2 linked regions of the Neodiprion lecontei genome follow. The protein of the gene in region 1 interacts with the protein of each later gene in a pairwise test. Links are inferred from orthologs where the notes say so. Each region holds a gene or a part of one and is shown in the gene's direction. Other genes may lie near its edges. The genes, in order: transcription initiation factor IIA subunit 1 and histone H4 transcription factor.

What was found.
Region 2: the proteins of transcription initiation factor IIA subunit 1 (region 1) and histone H4 transcription factor interact in a two-hybrid assay, tested with the Drosophila melanogaster proteins (2 studies listed by BioGRID). The link is inferred for Neodiprion lecontei from reciprocal best matches to the Drosophila melanogaster genes TfIIA-L and Hinfp.

What each region holds. Positions count from the first base shown.
Region 1 is NC_060263.1:28,726,274-28,736,799, reverse strand, and holds transcription initiation factor IIA subunit 1, read left to right. Parts: upstream 1-2,894; 5' UTR 2,895-3,103; coding exon 3,104-3,220; intron 3,221-3,598; coding exon 3,599-3,809; intron 3,810-4,281; coding exon 4,282-4,638; intron 4,639-5,100; coding exon 5,101-5,306; intron 5,307-5,973; coding exon 5,974-6,117; intron 6,118-6,292; coding exon 6,293-6,382; intron 6,383-6,475; coding exon 6,476-6,583; 3' UTR 6,584-8,760; downstream 8,761-10,526. Other genes in the region: protein unc-79 homolog, read right to left, coding at 396-566, 766-927, 1,007-1,126, 1,304-1,325. UniProt on the Drosophila melanogaster protein: TFIIA is a component of the transcription machinery of RNA polymerase II and plays an important role in transcriptional activation. TFIIA in a complex with TBP mediates transcriptional activity.
Region 2 is NC_060265.1:18,711,784-18,720,618, forward strand, and holds histone H4 transcription factor, read left to right. Parts: upstream 1-3,664; 5' UTR 3,665-3,750; intron 3,751-3,861; exon of another isoform or gene 3,862-4,041; intron 4,042-4,102; 5' UTR 4,103-4,231; coding exon 4,232-4,717; intron 4,718-5,547; coding exon 5,548-5,884; intron 5,885-6,025; coding exon 6,026-6,341; intron 6,342-6,507; coding exon 6,508-6,805; intron 6,806-6,925; coding exon 6,926-7,147; 3' UTR 7,148-7,450; downstream 7,451-8,835. Other genes in the region: 60S ribosomal protein L36, read right to left, coding at 890-1,024, 1,192-1,317; tRNA modification GTPase GTPBP3, mitochondrial, read right to left, coding at 1,685-1,925, 2,033-3,002, 3,085-3,258, 3,553-3,664; vacuolar protein sorting-associated protein 45, read left to right, coding at 8,612-8,704.

The sequences.
Region 1 (10,526 bases):
GATATGGAAATTCTTCAAAATTACTTGAAATGGAAGTACTGGTGTAGTATGTCGAATTTTACAAAGGTATTACAAAAGGATAAATTTTCACAGATTAGAAATAAGATTTTGTTATTTCTGTGTGGAAAAACATAATTTGTTGGATCGGCAAATTTTAGTATTAAGATTGTCACAGCAAGAAAATTTGTTGCAATAGCAAGAATTTTGCAACTTTAACTAACTAGTTTGTTACATTGGAACTCCACTTGGCTATACTTGCAGAAGCTTCACTGACACAGTGAAAGTTTTTGCATCGACAGCTAAGATTCTTGCTGTCATTACATTAACACCAAGAATTACTGGTCTATCGAATTATTTTTGTCCGTGTGAAGCAGATTACAGGTAAAAAGACTTACTAATTGTGAAGGGTAGAATATAGAAACAGAGGTAATTCACAATCTCCTGATGCAGTTCAACTGGTAGAACGGATATAGCACTTGCTGTTAGATATGGCAAGTTGTCTACAAGATCATGTTCCAAAAATGGCAATAAACAACACAAGCATTGCAGTATTGCCTGGCCAAATGCTGTTAAACACAAATCAGTAGAGATATATATCAATTTATTTTTTAGCACGTTTGAATTATAAATATTCCACCATGCTTTCATAGATATTACGGTGATATTTCAATAGAAAATAAATGAGTAAGTGGTTATACTTTCATAGTTCAATAGCAAATGACCTGTTGTTACGAGGTAAATTGACATGATATGACTTTTACTAACATTGCAGACCAATGTGTACCAGAGGAACAACATCCATGAGCTGCATCACTGCATTGTAGAGCTGTTTATAATCCAAGTTTGGATACAGTGCCATTCTCTGTGAATCAAACTCTTGTGATTTTATCATTTCTAACGGAGAATCAGGAACGTCTTTGAGGAGGGCTGAAATCGATAGCAAATATTGGTATGAACAATGAAAGTTCAAACTTGTACAACATTCGACCAACGGGGGTATACTTACAAAGCAATGTTTGAGAAAAGTATTTTATGGTATTAGTCATGTCGAATCCTGAGGGAGTTGGCTGAATCGCGTGTAGGAGTCTTTGATGGTAATCGTGAAGACTCGAGAGCTTTAGTGTGTCTGTAAAATAGCACTAAAATTACAGTACAGTTCATGTGTAAGGATATTTGTACCTTAAATTGGTTTTGTGTTTACGTTGTACGTTTAAATGAATCTGTTGAAACTATTAATTGCAAGAATGAACATGATCATGAAATACTTGGAAAATTCGATATAACATAGAACGATTATACGCACATGCAGCAAATTTCGTCCCCATTTTAGAGTTGTAACAAAATTGCTTTCGGTAAGATTAATATCGCTTCTTAATATACATCATTCTTGAACAACGCATCGCATGGACCCGAGTATCCGACGTATTGATCCTCCGAACTCAGATACTCTTTAATCTGAAAGCGATGTTCCGCGCTCATCTCGACCGGACAACAGCTGATTCGCTACACTATATTAGTTGTACCTTCGGTTAAAGCATTGTACGGCACTACCGCATTTGCGTAAAAATGACATAAAACGCTTAAAAAACACTTATGTCATTTCATCCGGTCATATTCGGGTTAATCACTCGGTTTTATACACATGAGTTTCACACGTTACGTTGACAGATCTACGAAAAATTAAGCGCACGCGCCAAACTCCGATGGTCATCGTAACTCCAACGAACCACGGTTCAAGAATAATCTGCTGCCTACAGCCAACTAGGTACAATACCATGCGTTACCAGAGAGAAACCTGCGTTACATCCAAAGTATATTATGGAAATGTTTGAGCAAATCAGAATGTGGGGCGGTAATTATTCCGATGAAAAACTTTTGATTCTGAACCCAACCGGCATCCGAAGTCATTGCCTCTCGTTTTATCGTCTGAATAAATTATTAAAGCGTGTATTACACTGCTTATTCTTATAACCCCGGGGATTCCCTGCTCGCAACAATTTCTATCTGACGATCCAAATTTCGGCAATCGGCATAGAACTGGAGTATAATTTGTCCACTGTTTTGTCCAATAAATCGCTTATGCAGTGGATGTATTCCAGTATGTGTGCTAGCATCTTGCTAGCAAGTAGCACGTGGACATTTCGGAATGGTCGTTCCGTAACAAGAATGAATATCCGCGATCTGTCATTGCGGAACGGACATACATTTTGTGTCCGATTCACGATGTAAGAAGGGTAAACAGGTTGAAGTCCGACGTTACCAGGTCAAGAAATCTCCACAATTTCGACACTGATACCTGAGGCAATTCCGAGCCCAACTCATTTCATTACGTCTCGAAATGTCGGACGTGCTAGCACCGCTAGCACACATTTCGGAATACGTCCAGTATAAAGCAGAATGGCTGCTTCATTTTGACGTATTCAGGAACTCCTATGATAACTATTGAACGTAGTCACTTCCATTATAACTTTCACCTTGTCGAACCGTAAACTAGGCTCAAAAAATTACGTTATGCGTAAATCGATTAGTTTTACCGTAGTAAAAACTATCATTGCAATTTTTTAGGTTATATTCCTTCATATCACAGTAAGCTGTACATAAGGCTAAAATCACGAGAGTAGTTATGTTGATCGACGTAGTTGAGCCATAGGGTGGAATGGGAGCTGTTGAGAAAGTATAAAAGAGCTCGAGCAACGCGGCAGGTCGGCTTCTCAGAAGCGGGCATTGATTTAGGATTATTCGTATTGTTGTTCTATTGATTGATAATACGAATTATCCCATAATGGCCCTGAGTCAAACTAGCGTGGTGAGTAATAAAGAAAAACCACGAAAATAATATGCTAATGAAAAATACAGGAAACAAAGCATCGTGCTTAACGAGCCGTATGTATGTATTTACGTCTTGCTTTCGGTAATATTAACTTGCTGAAGGCCTTGGACGATCTGTCAATAGTGTAATCTTCGCTATCTTAATGCCTTTGTGACTGTTGTACTCTGTTTTGAAGTAACATTTGACTCGTTACTTGAAAAATGAAGTCGCTCGAAACATCGTTAAATAAAAATATTTATAATAAACGTTTATCGTTATTTTCACCTTCAAAACATGAGGATATCTTTATCGCCCTCGACACGTATGCGTAACGTGTTACACGACATGTTCAACGAAATGTTCATTGATTACACAATTACAAGAGAAAATAATATTGTTGTCATACTTAACGTAAGTAACAAAATATTAAATACCCGTCGATATTATTTTGATGATGATTTTATTTCTTTTTTAATTGAATAGAATTCTTTAAGAGGCAACAAAGTATTGCAATTCCAACTCGTATGCTATTTTCGCCTCACATATAAAACCTTTCTAGCTAGCTAGAGAAGTGTTTTTCTAAAAACATAATTCAGCAATGCTTATACTTCAGAAAGAAGCAAGAAAAACACATTTTACAACTGTGACATTTTACCTAGAAGTTAAAAAGAAATATGCAGATTCATCCACTTTTTTGTCAACGGCCATCTAATACGACATAAGGTGGACGTTACTTCAGTAATATTTTTACACAGCACAAAAGTGAGTAAAATGGTATTTTGGTTTCAGTTGAAGTTATACAACACAGTCATCGAAGATGTCATAGCTGGCGTGCGTGAATCATTTTTAGATGAGGGTGTAGATGAGCAAGTATTACAGGAGTTGAAACAAATATGGGAGACAAAATTAATGTCCAGTAAAACGTTCGAGGTGAACCCAGATCCACCAGAGCCCCAGCCTCCTCAGCTTACCACCCACAAGACAGCGGCAACAAATAAAGGTAACAATTTTGTAATATTTGATGGCTGTAGTCATATGTTATTGCTCACTTTTTGAAGTATTCCAAAACAGGATACAGCTTTATATGTGAAAAAATTTTACCGCACTTTGCATGCTATTCAAGCTGTATTCTACTCCGTACAAGAGATTTTGAATTTTATTGCAAGTTGTGTTTTTTTAAGACTCCATGCGCTCAAATTTTTTCAATTATCACAATCACATGTACATACTCGCAGAATCAAAATACACTTTGAACCTCTAAAGTGAATAGTTTTATACAGAAAAAAAGAATCCACATCTGGCGAAATCCGCACGTATATTACATATGATAGTAATGTCTAGACGTGACTGATCAATATTTTCTTGATGTTTGCTATTTAATTATTCTATATGTACAAAATTTAGTACGTATTTTTCAGATTGTATTGAAATCAGTAAACATTGATATTTAATGTTGGCTCTCATTTTTACAGCTGGAATTGCTGGAAATCATTTTGTGCAACAACCGTCAACTGCAGCTGCAGTACAGCAACAGCAGCAGCAGCAACAACAACAACAACAACAACAACAACAACAACAACAACAACAACAGCAACAACAGCAGCAACAACAGCAACAACAACAACAGCAACAACAGCAGCAACATGCACAGCAAGCGGGCCATCCTGTGCAACAACAATCAAGTGGTATTGCGCAGCAGGTAGTTACTGCTCCTGCTGCAGTTTTGGACAGACAAGTCCCAATTCAAATCACTCTTCCTGCACAAGCTGGTCAGCCCGATGCTCAGCCCCGAGTTCTCACAATACAAGTCCCAGCCTCAGCGATTCAAGGTAAAATAACATATCCTACTACAGTTTTAACCCATAAGTTACCGGATTACGAAATAGCTTGCTGAAAAATATTTTTACTGTCCAAAGCACATTTAAATGATTTCCTAGAATGCAAAGTCTACTTAAAAAATAAAATTAAAATTTCGAAAATCTTGCCCTATTTTGACAGTGTTCGTATGGATGAAATTGATGTCTTAATGGTACAAGTAGCTACATTTATGCACTTTAACTCTTCATTATGGACGTCAGGTTTCTTAGCGCTAGTGAGCACGTGGGGTCTTCGAGGACCCATTTTTTTGGAGCTATATTTTCGCAAAATTCTGCTAATCATTGAAACATAGATTCAAGTATTATTGATCTTGTTATTGCAATTGTAATGCGAATAAAAATTGCCAAAATATTTGGATATCTGTTTTTGTGCAAGATAAAAAGCTTTGGTAGTCACAGACATTTTTGTTACAGGTAACCAATTACATACTATTTTAACTGGTCCTGTAATTACTGCTGCAATGGGACTCCCTGCGAACCTGGCATCAACATTGTTGCAACAACATGTAAATGCTACGCTTCAAGGACAACCTACGCTTGCGCCTATTCAACTAGCCCAACCAACTGTTGTAACACAGAATACAAACAGTGTAACGACACAGCGAACTGCCCAAAGTCAGGTACGAGTATATGTTTACGGAATGGTTAAATTTCTTTTAATTTGTTTTGAGTTGTTCTAGAATAAATATTGTATACGTTGAATATTTCGTCTCTTTCACAATTAATGCCTTTTCCGTCAGTAGGCTCAAAAGTTAAATATATTCCGATTCTTGATTCGTCATCACTTTACTTCGTCAGTACTTCAAAGGTTATGCAATAGATAATTGACTTTACATAAAACTTGTTTTTCACAAATTTTAGGAATCAATGACAATGACAGCATACTTGAAGTTGGTCTTTCCCGCGTAATCATAGCTACTAAATACAGGGTGACGTAGCACTATCACCCCATAAGCTCACTATGTATTCCTCGTGAAAATCTACGACTGAAACGTTTGTTATTTCTCACTGACAGATTGTCGTTTGCGATTTACAGTTGTTTGAAAATGGCCAAACCGGTATCATCTGATGGTTTAGATCAGGGCTGGTGGATAGCCATGTGCTCCACAGCTGTCCTAAGCGATCAAATACTACCGGACTGGCTAATTTCAAACGTAATTCGCGAACAACAAGTTTCCTATTAGAAATAAAAACGTTTCAGTCGCAGACTTTCACATTGATAGCTTGTGGAGTGATAGTCGTAGGTCACCCTGTATATTTCTTACATTCCTATTCCATTGATGACAGGGTAACATAGCTCAATTGGATGGGCCTGTGGTTGATACGTCTGATGAAGACGATGATGAGGAAGAAGAAGATAATGATGATGATGATGAAGATCTTGATGATAGAGAAGAAGAAGAAAATGATGACGCTGCTGCACGTGAGGAGGTAATATTTTTTCAGATTTAACGTCGTGTAATTATCTTCCTATTTGGATAATGCATATGATATTTCTAGAATGTTTCATATACGTTCTGCTTTACGTTTAAGTGTTTTGTACTAGAGATTATATCTTTATTTAGTATTCGGAATTATTGACGTTCATGTGTGCGCATTATTTCAGGAACCACTGAATTCTGAAGATGATGTTACTGATGATGATCCAACAGATTTGTTTGATACGGATAATGTAGTTGTCTGTCAGTACGATAAGGTTGGTACTTTGGTTGTTATACTTGACCATTTCGTTTGTGCCTACTATTTGGACAGTAATAATTAATATATTTGGAATTTTACTGCATTTTAGATCACAAGGAGCAGAAATAAGTGGAAATTCTATTTAAAAGACGGCATAATGAATCTAAGTGGGAAAGACTATGTTTTCCAAAAAGCTAATGGGGATGCAGAATGGTAAGGGGCCCACTGCTACTTTTCTTTTAACAATAAAAAACCTATTCTTCTTTCCTCGTCTCTTATATCTTTTGTGCAGTCCTGTGAATCACATTGTTATGAATTAATCATTCACAGTTACTTCAAAATCATAATAGTATTAATAAGCATTATAAACCAATTACCATTACTCATTTAAAATGATACATGTAATATCAGGTAATATAAAATTTGTTATTAAGCAATTGGATGTTTTACGGTCTTGTGGACAAAATTCAAACTCTTGTATTTTTTGATTATAAAAATAATATATATATATATATACCTATATCTAAATCCGTACTGTTAGGTATTATCTAAATTCTTGCTTTTAATTTTTGTAAATAAAATCTTTCGCAAATATCACTGCACTGGTTTTGACAGAATATAATATAAGGGAATTCAGTTAACTTACTCAGGGATGTTTTGTTGTGGTATATATAAGTAGACTTGGAAACGGTAATAAAGTATACTCTAATTTTATAAATCGCATGGAACTGCATTGCAAGATAGAAGTGATAGTTGTAACATGATTTTTATTCATCTGATACCGATTAATTCCGTTTTGAATTTATAATTCTTGACCCTTACTCACTTACAAGAGGAACTGCCAAATTTCAATAATATTGCGACTGGAATAGACTTGTTTTTACTTTTGTACGCATTTGTAAATCTTATCATAAGATAGATTTTATGTAATTCCAAAATTGCGATTTATAAATAATTTTCTGAATTTATTCTCTGCGTAAATCTAATATAACATAGAATGAAGAATTATTATGCCTATTTCACTTGGAACACGGATACTAAATAATACATGCTTAAATGGTCTACTAAACGATGGGCCAGTTTAACCTTTTAAGGACGGGACTGGTCGAAATTTCGACCACTGGGTTGGTCGGATACTCCACGTGAGAAATTCATTGATATTATACACAAATTTCGTGTAAAATAAAAGGTCGATTTCAACGTAAAAATTCCCGTCCTGAAAAGGTTAATATGCTTTGGGAATAATAATTTTGAAAGTGAATCACCAGTGTAGTTGTAAATTTTAAGACAAAATACAGGTTAGTAATTAGGAGATTAAGTTTTAATTTTTGATTATACTGTATACTTTCACAAAGACTGTGCTCTAATCTAAATATCTGGTTGATTTACAAATGAAATTGCAAAATGGTTAAGGAGTTTGAGTGTACGCTCACTTACAAATTTTGTTGATTCTCGTGAATATTATTAAATCATGGATTATTTGAAGTAAAGTGCCTATGGGTAAAGTGGCGTGTGGGAGTTGAATTTAAATGTGAAACAGACTATTAAGCAAATGATATGCTCATAATTTTTGTTATAATTACCTGGGATGTAAATATATTGTCAAATGTTGTGGAAAAGTGATTATCGAAACGAAGTATAATAGTAAATTATTCCCGAGTTCATAAATTAGTTCATATTTCATTAGATTCATAAAATGGGTCAGACTTATGTATAAATTAAATTAAAGAAACTGATGCTGGGACTTAAGTAGTCGAGTGCACAAGAATCTATACTTGAATTTATTCAACTATGTAATTCTTATATAATTCTTCAACTGTATTGTAATAAAAACGTTTTTGCAATTCATTTCGAATAAAGAATCGAGCATAATCCAAAACTAGTTGGAAAAATATTTTAAAGTTACATGTGAAATAGGTATAGAATGAAGATTTAATAGGTATATTTGAAAACCATCAATGGTTGAGTATTTTACTTCATCTGAAGAAGCAAACAACTTAGAATGAAAATTCTGTAAGTTCATGAAACGAATGATTTATATACTGTAGATTTTCAAATGCTCAATTCATTAGTAAAAAAAAGAATCCATAATTGAATGCAAATTATCACTGCTTAACAACTGCGGTTTCAATACTTTTCATTGATACATATGTATATAAATCAGTTGAATAGTGTTGTGTGTACGTATAGTGTATTTGAAAATTCTTAGAAGAATAAAAGTGTCTTATGCTGCATACATGTATACCTACATTTGTAAAAGTATTTTAAATAAAGAGGGTCTATTACTGTAGATTATATTTGTCAATCGTAAAATTTTATACCCATGAATCGATTTTATTTGAATCAAATCATCTTCTAAACTAAATATTTTCATTTTTGCTACCACAAACGTATCAGTTACCCACGAAAAATCTATTTGAACTCAACGTCAAACTGAAGTTTGAAAATAGAAGTCTATAATATTGTTTTGCAAATGATGAACCTATACTGGCAGATATCACGGTACCATATCAGATTACCAGCAACTATTTCTAAAGTAATCATTTAGAATAGAATAAAATCGTTTACTCACAGTGAACATTTATCATAGAAGTATTACTACATTAGTTGTATATGCTTAACTAATCTGTTTTGCTCCGATTTATAGCTACAAATTATGAAATAACACTCATGTTAACACTCTGTTTCCCCGACTCCTCCTTGAAATCTTCATTTTGTCAGGTATGCACTGAGATGCATCATTTAGCAACAGCATTTGCTCCTGAGATGATGTCTATAAGTTCATTAGTGATTGCAGTTTGACGTGTACGATTGAACTCACGTTTCAACGCTTCTGATATTTTTGTGGCATTTTTTGTAGCATTTTCCATGGCCACGATTCGAGCTGCGAGCTCACTGCAGGCTCCTTCTTTCATCATCCAGTATATAAGTACTACGTAAGAGAACTCCAAGTAGCTTTCTAAAATTTCTTGCTCTATTTCATCGTATATTGCAAAGTTTCTTCCTGCATATACTGCAGTTTTGTTATATAAATCCGTAACGTCTACCTTATATGACATGCGGGATAGACATTGGTTGTAATGCACTTTAGTCACTGTATAATTACTTTTGGTGTTGCATTCATTTATTTTCATGGCAATAACTGATGCATCCAAAAAATTGATATTTTTTTTTCCAACATCTTTTGCTGTCCAAATAAGCTTTTCCGGTAATGTTTTCGAAAAAATAGACACAGAATACTGACCGACACATACCAGTCTACTTTTTGACGCTAAGCTTAGATTGTTGACAAGACTTGAATTAATTACTCTTGCTATCCCAGAGTGAATAGCTCCGCATAATCCGTTGTCAGATGTTAAGGCAACAATCAACTGAGAGCCGATTTCTACAGGAAGATTCACTCCAATTTCTTCATAAAAAATTTTTTGTCCTTTCCCCAAGGATCTGGCATTTTCAAGTTCTTGTTCAGCTCGAACAAACTTTGAGGTAGAGACAATTTTCATTGACTGTGTTATCTTCTTAGTATTTGACACTGATTTAATACGATTTTTTATTACTTTCAATGTTGTCATATCTCGATTTATAAGATTAATTTACACTTGGTTGGCTTCAACGTATTATATTACATTGACATATTTTGTAAATTTATGCTTCTTTGGCGAACAGGTAAAACTAATAGTAATTATGACTGCTAAAAGAGGTTCAATCATAAATCTGACGTTTATATTCAACTTATACTTAATCTTCGATTGTCAGGCTTTTCTGCTATTACACTATAATGTGTGATCAAAATATCTGATTCGCAGGTATTCTTTTGTGAAAAAAATAATTGGCATCTTCATTCCAAATGAAACGATAAGAATAATAGACATGGATTGTACATAACTCCTAAGACTCGATGTGCATTAAAGAGACGAACTTTATAAGGACAGAGAGGAATTGAATAACATTCTACAGATTATTATTTACAGTGAGTGTTGATATTTATTGCGGGACAGGCCTCCTCTATGGAGGCAATGTTACATGATACTGTATACAAGTTGGATATTCTTTCACGGTGCTTGTAAAGCTACCAAGAATTTCCATATTGCGTCTTTCTTTCAAGAGCCACTGTTGCGAAGAATATTAAATCTATCTGATTTCTAAACGTCCCCTATAGC
Region 2 (8,835 bases), on another chromosome or scaffold:
GTTTTTCCCAAAATGTAGGTAATTGTGCCTGGGTTTTTCTCATTTGCTCGTCAAGAACTTTAGGAATGTACAAAGAGGTAGAAGTTGCAATTACTGTGCATTATATAATAATAATAATAATCACTGCCATTACCCGCCAAGACTGATAGAGTATGTCTCCAGAAGTGTACAGGAGACTTATGCGGAGCAAAAGAAGGAATGAATTAGTGACCATTATTATCTAACTGCAGCTGTCTTAAGATGTTCAGTAGAAACATCCATATACGCACAAGGGACAAGGAAAACTACAAAAAAAAAACCTTGCCCAGGTGTAGCCGAACCGAGTTAAAACCTCAACCTGCTAATTTAGCGCCTATGTGATGTGACCCATCTTATAATTTTCGCGAGGTATTGCTTAGATCCTCCCTGATAGTCTGGGGATTTCAACTCAGTTCCTCCCATACAATACTAAACTACTATGGTCTGGTATGTAGGAGATATTCCAATTCAAATTGTTTCTTTGTCGGTTATATCTAAGCATTGAAATGTTCTGCAACTCCGTTTATTTTCATAAATAACTCAGTAGTGGCAAGAAAATGATTGTCATGTTTTTTTAGATGCAACAAAAAGAACTATAAGGCTGAAGTTAATATCGGTAACGTAATGAAACATTCAGGAGACAAATTACTATTTTGCAAATTTATAGTGACTTTGAAGTAGATGAGTCTTTAAAAGATGAATAAGTTTTGCCTTATTATGATTTACTGCATTTTAGATATCTCTGCAATTGTGATATATGGATTTTTCCGGAAAGTAAATTATTTGAATAAAGTTACTAACCTCCGCCTCATAAAGAACTGCGATAAGAATGCTTTGGTAACAGGGAATCTGGAACATTAAAGTAACTTACCCTTCTCTTCAAGAATTTCAGAGCTCGTTTGTCTTTAGACACCTTCAGTAATTCCATGGCGCGTTTTTCATATGGAGCATGTCCAGTTACCTCTCGTATCAAGTCACGTACAAATTTGCTGTGCTTTGTTTGACGCTATGCAGAAACGGTGATACATACAAGATCAAAAATAATGATTGTGGCAATTAATGAAATAATTTTTAAAAATAAAATCAAACTGTTATGCATTTGGATCGAGAAATTTTTCTCCAATTGAATGCAACGCGATACTGAGGTTATGTACAAAACAAATTGACACTTACGCCCTTGAGCCTAGCTGGGCGGATGGTAACGGTCTTTTCTTTTTCAGATTTGTTTTTAGCGACACGTATCTTCGTGGTTTTGTGACCCTTCTTGAGGCCGACGGCCAATTCGTACCTTGGTGCCATCCTGTTGTTAAAATACAATTATTAGAGGTTATGTTATCACTGTCGCAAATGCTGAGAAAAGTACAATTTCATGAAAATATGTAATGAATGAAGTAGCTGAATCATTTACAAAAACAATTATATGCAACGGTACGGATGATGTGTACAGATTCGAGAGATATATCGCGATTCCAAAAACAACGCACCTCACGATACAACGACGCACGTTGAAAGAAATGGCTGGCCGGAAGTATTGTAAGGAATGGACGTTTCTTTTATCGCTGCCATTGGCCAATCGACGACTTTCGGATAATAGCGGTAAATTGAATTTGAATAAACGAATGGTTACAAAATGTACACTATTAAGATAATCTAGAATGTGGTATATTTATTTGCCAATACAAAAATCTTTGAATATTACATCGAGAATTTGTTCTACGCTAACGTATCCCGTAATTAAACCGAGTTCTCGCATAGCGTTTCGTATTTCTTGTGCAGCTAAAACGATGTCCCTTTCCTCACTCTTTATAAGGTCGAAGTAATTATCTATATGTTCAGAACAATTTGTCAAATGTATTCTGTGCCTAGTTTGACTGACAGTAGGGTTTTCACGACACGGATTACCACATCTGCAAAATGAAAAGTTTAACTATCATACAGTACATGAGAAAAAGATCAATGATCGGTTTCAATACAGAGTATCAAATAAATGATTATTTAGCCGGTCAATACTCACAAATTTTTTAAATGTATGGCAACACGTTTCGAGAATTTTTGGAGGCCCTCTTCTCTGGCACAGGAAATAAATATTGTCCTGTCATCTTTTAACAGCGAATCTCTTTCTTGGGGCTCCAACAAGTCTATTTTATTCATTACTACTATACAGTGATCCATCACCTTTCCATTATTCAGTAACAAATCATTTAACCCTAGTCGTTCGACGTAGTCAATGATAAATTCGTCGTACTTCTTCTTACTTCTTAAATACGAAACCGAATTAGCCAATAGAATTACAAAATCAGCCCCCTTAGTATAATTCTTTGCTCTATGTATACCCTCTATCTCAACAATGTCTGTCGTTTCTTTTCTTAGACCGGCAGTATCAGCTAAAATCACAGGATAATCGAATATATTTAAATTTAATTCAACAATGTCCCTTGTTGTTCCAGGAATAGGCGTAACTATTGCAGCTTCTCGTTGAACAAGATAATTCAGTAAACTACTTTTCCCAACATTTGGTTCCCCAAGAATTACAGTTCGCACACCTTCACGTAATATCTCTCCTTTTCTACCATCTGAAAGGTGACGTTTTATTTCCTGATTTAGAACTTTTAATACATTATTGCATTTGTCCATAATGTCAGCTTCTATGTTGTCATCTTCGCTAAAATCAATGTAAGCCTCGACATGTGCAATAGATTGTAAAAGTGTTTTCCTCCACTTATTGTACAATTTGCTCAAACTTCCATCAACTTGTAGATATGCTTGTTTTCTCTGCAGTTCTGTCTCTGCATGGATCAGATCAGCCAACCCTTCAATTTCAGTCAGGTCCAACTTGTTGTTATAGAATGCTCGCCTTGTAAATTCACCTGGTAAAGCATGGGCAAATTTCAATTTTGAAAGAGCAGCTGATACAGCTGCAATTACAGCAGAGCCGCCGTGTATCTGGAATTCTACACTGTCCTCTCCAGTGAAAGAATTAGGTCCTATAAAGTTAATGTTTTATCAAATTCAATTCTATTGCGTGTGATAATTATTTCACAAAAACTATCTATAATAAGTAGCTACCTGGAAACCAAAGACATAAACCCTTGTCTATAACTTCCCTTGTATCTGGATCGCAGATATTTCGAAGAAAAGCTTTTCTGGGTTCAAGTTTCGTTATGTTTGTCATTTGCTTCAAGGCATCAATTGCCTGACTTCCTGATATCCTTATTACAGCAACACCGCATTTCCCGTGCCCTTAAATAATAATTTTTTTTTTATTTTTATTTTACTTTAAATAAAATATTCGAAATTACTAAGCACTGCGTATTTTCCTGCTTTATGGAATAACCAGAGGGCAACTTAAAATTAAGTTAAACCCTTAATGAATGACTTTAAAATTCAAGTTAGTGTTCTGTATTCGTTGAGCTACGCAAATTTATTTCGGAACTTGCATATTTCGTAATTTTCAACAAATAGTTTTAGAAATACTAGATTTTCATGAATTGCACTTCGTTTTGGGTGAATTAAATATGTAGATCAATTGTTAACCAGAAGAGAGCGCAAAAATTGTTGAATTTCCATTCCACCGTCTGTTGAAGAAAAATACTCCGGCAGTCTCTGGCGAAATCATGAAGCGTGGAGTTAGGCATCGCGCGAGCATCTTTATGAATGGATATTTACAGTATTCTGATGCTCTAAGGATTTTTATACGTTGATTGCGATGTAACCAGATTTGAAAAGTACTTCGTGAGTATCGTTAATAATGGTAAACTGTAAATAGAACGATTAAATCCAACAAATATGGGACGATCTTACACTGCTAAAAACTGTCATGGTGGAGGACATGCATACACCTACCCACAAAGCTTACGTCTAGTTGTGTGACCAACAACGCGTATTATTTATATTTTTAATATTTTCAATTGTTTCACAATAGCGAACAAATATCGAACTTGATTGTAGGATTTATTCGATATTTCTTACTGGGCGATTCTTAATGTCCTTGGACTCTCGGTTCTTCTATTTTCGGTTCTACTCGTGTTTCATTGGTTAGCAAATAATTACAATCTGAACTAATCGACAATAATTTTTGTTACAGGACCAAAATTGGCGGTAAAATGAAATATATCGCGGTTTGATCATTGAATTTATCACTCGTTAAATATTTGCTGTCACGCCCTCTAGTCTTTATATATGATTATTCATATATCTTAATAAATTTTATGCAATGACTATGAGCGAAAAAGAGTTGGTGTCAAGTAAAGAATTGCAAAACAGATGCCATGGCTGGGTGGAATCTCAGCAAGAGCTTTTATACTCCGAGGATAATGTCTTGAAAAGAAAATTAGACACCGAACCAGAAGAGTTCTTTGATACTGACTCGGAATTTGACTCAGTTTCTGAATGCGGAACTAAAAGACGCAGGGTGTTGAAACAAGTGAAAGATGAGGTTTTGAATTTGCTGTGCGAATGGAAGGATTGTTTGTTTGACACCAATTCTCTTGATATTTTTGTCAAACATGTTTCCAACCACATTCCGCAGCTCAAGATCGTTACTACAGAAGAAGGTCGGGAAGTTTATGCGTGTCTGTGGAATGGCTGTTCCTTCGAATCTGATATTTCTGACGATATAGCCAAACACGTTAATTATCACTCCTATCATACAAAGTTGAAATGTATTGGATCTAACATCAGAGGAAGAGTTAAATTGCCTGTGAATATAATTTTATTATTTTGCTTGTCTTATAATAATTTTGATCATGCTACACTTGTTTAGTTGTAAAGTTCCCAACTAAACTGTAATTAACTATTCAAGCAACTTGCAAAATTGACAATATCATTTGCAGCATTATCTAAGAACTTAATCTGTACGTTTTCTACTTTGATTGTAAAAATATAAGTAATAGAGTTAGCGTTCATGAAAACCAGTTGTTTCATTGGTGAGAAATGGTTCATGGCAGTGAATTTTACAAATTGCAGTAACTGTTCTTGTTTACATAGTGAAGTGAGAAAGCATAGATCATGACGAATTTTATTCAAATACATAATAGTACTTTAGGTGGCATCCCCGTAAAGTAGGTGGTTACCGGGCAAAAATACTTAATTCATTATTCGAGTGAAAAACACTTTATGGTCACGCTCCATACAATATTTTTCCAGAAAAGCATGAAAAGTTATTTTGACACCAGTTGAGATCCATATTTCAGACAGAGCAACAGACTCAGAATTGCCGTATAAAGTCTGTTATATGGCAGTTCAACATATGCACTTTGAACTACCCATCAAAACTGCAGTATAAAGTCTTCATACTATAGTTCTGAGGTTGGTGGTATAAAGTACCACTCGCCGAATGTTATACAGGCATCAAAAAGTGACTTTTTCATGCCTGTGTCAGAAAAATACATGTGCTTACATACATAAATCATTCAAAAGAATTCGTTCAGTAATATTTTGTGAAATGAGTTTACTTAAATGCGCTTTAAATTGCGTTTGAAATTAATACATTCACATTTCATATAAAACTATTTGAAATTATTTTTTTAGAAATGTTACCAAGACCAGGGTTTGAAAAATGTGATTGACCAGCCATTGCCTCAGATCTGCAGTTGGGAAGAATGCCTAAAATCTTTCAATAACTACCAGGCCTACTTGTGGCATGTTGTTACACACATTGAAACTAATCCACGTGGAAATAAGGTAGAGGGAGGAGTAAATTGTCTATGGACAGGTTGTAATGGTAACTACAAAAGTTTGTACAAGCTTCGAGAGCACGTCAGATGTCACACAAAGGAGAAGATGGTTGCTTGCCCAGATTGCGGTGCTACATTTGCTTCCAATACCAAATTTCATGATCACTGCAAACGCCAGATTCCTTTGGATCGTAAGTAATGATAACACCAATGTATGGGGAAATTTTTGACAATATTTACAATCCTATCAAATCCGACTGTGTGATTTATTTATTTGAAACCCGTTATCAGTACTTCAAAATTTTTATTATTATATTTGTATTCTGCTGCAGTGCAAGGCTTTCAATGTTCACACTGCAACAAGTATTACCCAACAGAAAGTATACTGAGAAATCACATGCATTTCCATGTATTTCATTATAAATGCACTATGTGCGATATGAGTTGCGAGTCACCGGCAAGTTTGGCAAAACACATAAGATATCGCCATATATCCAGCAGACCATTCAAATGTCAGCTGTGCACACATGCAGCTAAATCTGAGCAAGACTTGGATTCACACATGGCAGTTCATACAAGAGGACCGAATTTCATCTGTACTGTAGATGGTTGTTCCTATGGATGCAAAAACTCATACATGATGGACAGGTATTCTTGTGCTTGGACTGTTATTTTAAAATTAGAAAGAAAGCGAAGTTCATTAACAATGCCTGAAACAATGTACACTTTAATTAATTGCCCATGATACTTTCATTTCCTTCTGTACATTTAAAAGTTGGTTTGTTCATTTGAGATTTTGTTTTTGTCTCACTAGACATATGGAACGTGTGCATTCAAAATTCCTCAGATTTTATTGTTGCCACGAATGTCCAGTAAAATACCGTAAGAGCTATCGTCTTACCAAGCATTTGATTGAAACTCATCACTTGCAATGGCCAAACGGGCACAAACGGTTTCGTTATAAGAAAGATGAGGATGGCTGCTATCGACTGCAAGTTGTGCGTTATGAAACCTTGGATGAGGATACTGTCAAAATGACAGGAGAGTCCGCACCAAAGGAAAAGAATTACTTATTGGAGCTATCGGCTGGTTCTTCTGTACCAAAGTTGAAGGTATATATTTTCAATCATTCATGGTATTACTTCTATCTTTCGATATGTGAGTTGTAAATCTATCAATGTTTTTAATAAATTTATATCCATTTTACTGAGAAATTGTATCCGATTTTATAGATAACAGAAGAGGTGGAGAAAAGTCTCAATTCTGATTACCTCAAAATGTCCAAACATGAAGCTGCTAACGAGACTGGCAAATCGATGCCTATTGTTTCAAATATTTTGATATGGATTGACGAAGTTGATGAAGATGGGAATATTATCGAAAGTAGAGTTGTCGAAACTCAGGAGACCAATGAGCTACCTCCATCTGCAGAACCGCCAATAATAATAAAGTAGAGATCACCTCTTCGTTTTACATGTAGATACATACCTATGTTGTCAAAGCAATAAAATACTTTACTAAATTTTGTATCAAGTTACAATAATGAATCTTCAGAATTCTAAAAGCAACAATCAAAACAATTTTTTCCCATCAATATTTGTGACGTTTGTTTTGAGACATGCCGTGTCTTAATTTGCCCAAGGCACTTACACCTGAGTACTCAGTGGGTCAGTGGGCTTACTTGCATGATTGTGACGAATCACTGTTTCGTCGTGAGTATGCAAGTGTGTAAGTGGTTCAGGTGAATTAAGACACGGCAATATACTTGTAAAAATTCATAAATGCTGAGAGAGATAAGGGAACCAGTTCTTACTCGATAAGCAAAAGGCGAACTCAATTGTTTAACCAGGTAAACGAGATACTTACTAATGTAATTTTTATCTAGAGATAAATGAATAATTGTAAAATCCTATTCCTGGATTCAAATTAATGTAGTGTGGGGTGAGATGTGACGAATAAGCCTATTTTATTTATCTGCAACCATAAATATACTATTAAATCAAAGAAGTATGCTATATGAATATCACTGGCAGTTTTTCAAAGTCTAGAATCACAAGAGTCAAATCGTTTAGAAATAAGTCCTAACTAAGTACGAATGCGGTATTGATTTCGCCTGATATCGCTAAGCTGCTCTTTTTAGCTTCAAATTCTGATTGCGACACTTTAGTGATTTGAAACACTCTGGAATCGAAAGCCCGATAAAATACATTGGATCTACTAGACAACCTCATTTTTTACACCGTCAGTCAACGTTACAAGTTTTTCTATTCCAAAAAAAAAATTGCTAGCAAAATTAATTCACTTCAATTTTTTCTTACGCGTCAAATTTCATGATTTGATACATTTTTTGCCGTGTTGTCGGAGCCACCTTAAGTAAGTGCAACCAGTCAATAACCACCCACAGATTTATTATTGTGCATCCTTTGCATGATTGATTCAATGTGATTACCGTTTTCTCTTTATCAAGAAAGCATATCAATGGAATTTTATTTAATCTTTGGTCTTTCGATTCATCATACATTTCATTTTCACTAATATATTGTCGCTATAGTCACATACATTCATCATACAATTATTTTATTTTGTCAAATATTAATGTATTCATGTAATCTTCAGCAGCAGCTTTGATTTTCCATGTCTATGGATTTTCCACATGCAAACGTCAAACTTTCGTGAATACTGTCTGCTAGATCGCCGCCATTATTGTTTACCTCATCCTCACCGACGCATGAGGTACCTGGCGGATTTCCGTCGTACTAAGGCATAATAATCACAGAGCTCAACACAGGGAGCAGGGCAGTTGGACGCCGGACTACCTCTTATTCGTACCAAGGGTACCAAGTGATTGTGTGTCACGAAGTCGTGGATTATGTGCACCTTAACCTTAATGTAGTATAATTGATAAAAATCCATCGAAAATGAACGTGTTTTCGGCTTTAAAGCTTTACATCACCAAAATGACCGAAGAGAGCGGTCCTGGTATGAAAGTGCTCCTAATGGATAAGCAAACGGTAGTTAATTTTCGATCTCCAGATTAGGTTAGGTCTGGCTGTCAAAGTAGTACGTCGGTTCTTCTGTTGCGGCAACAATTAAATGTTGTTCCGCCTAAACAGGAGTGAACGTTGAAATCGTACTTTGATCG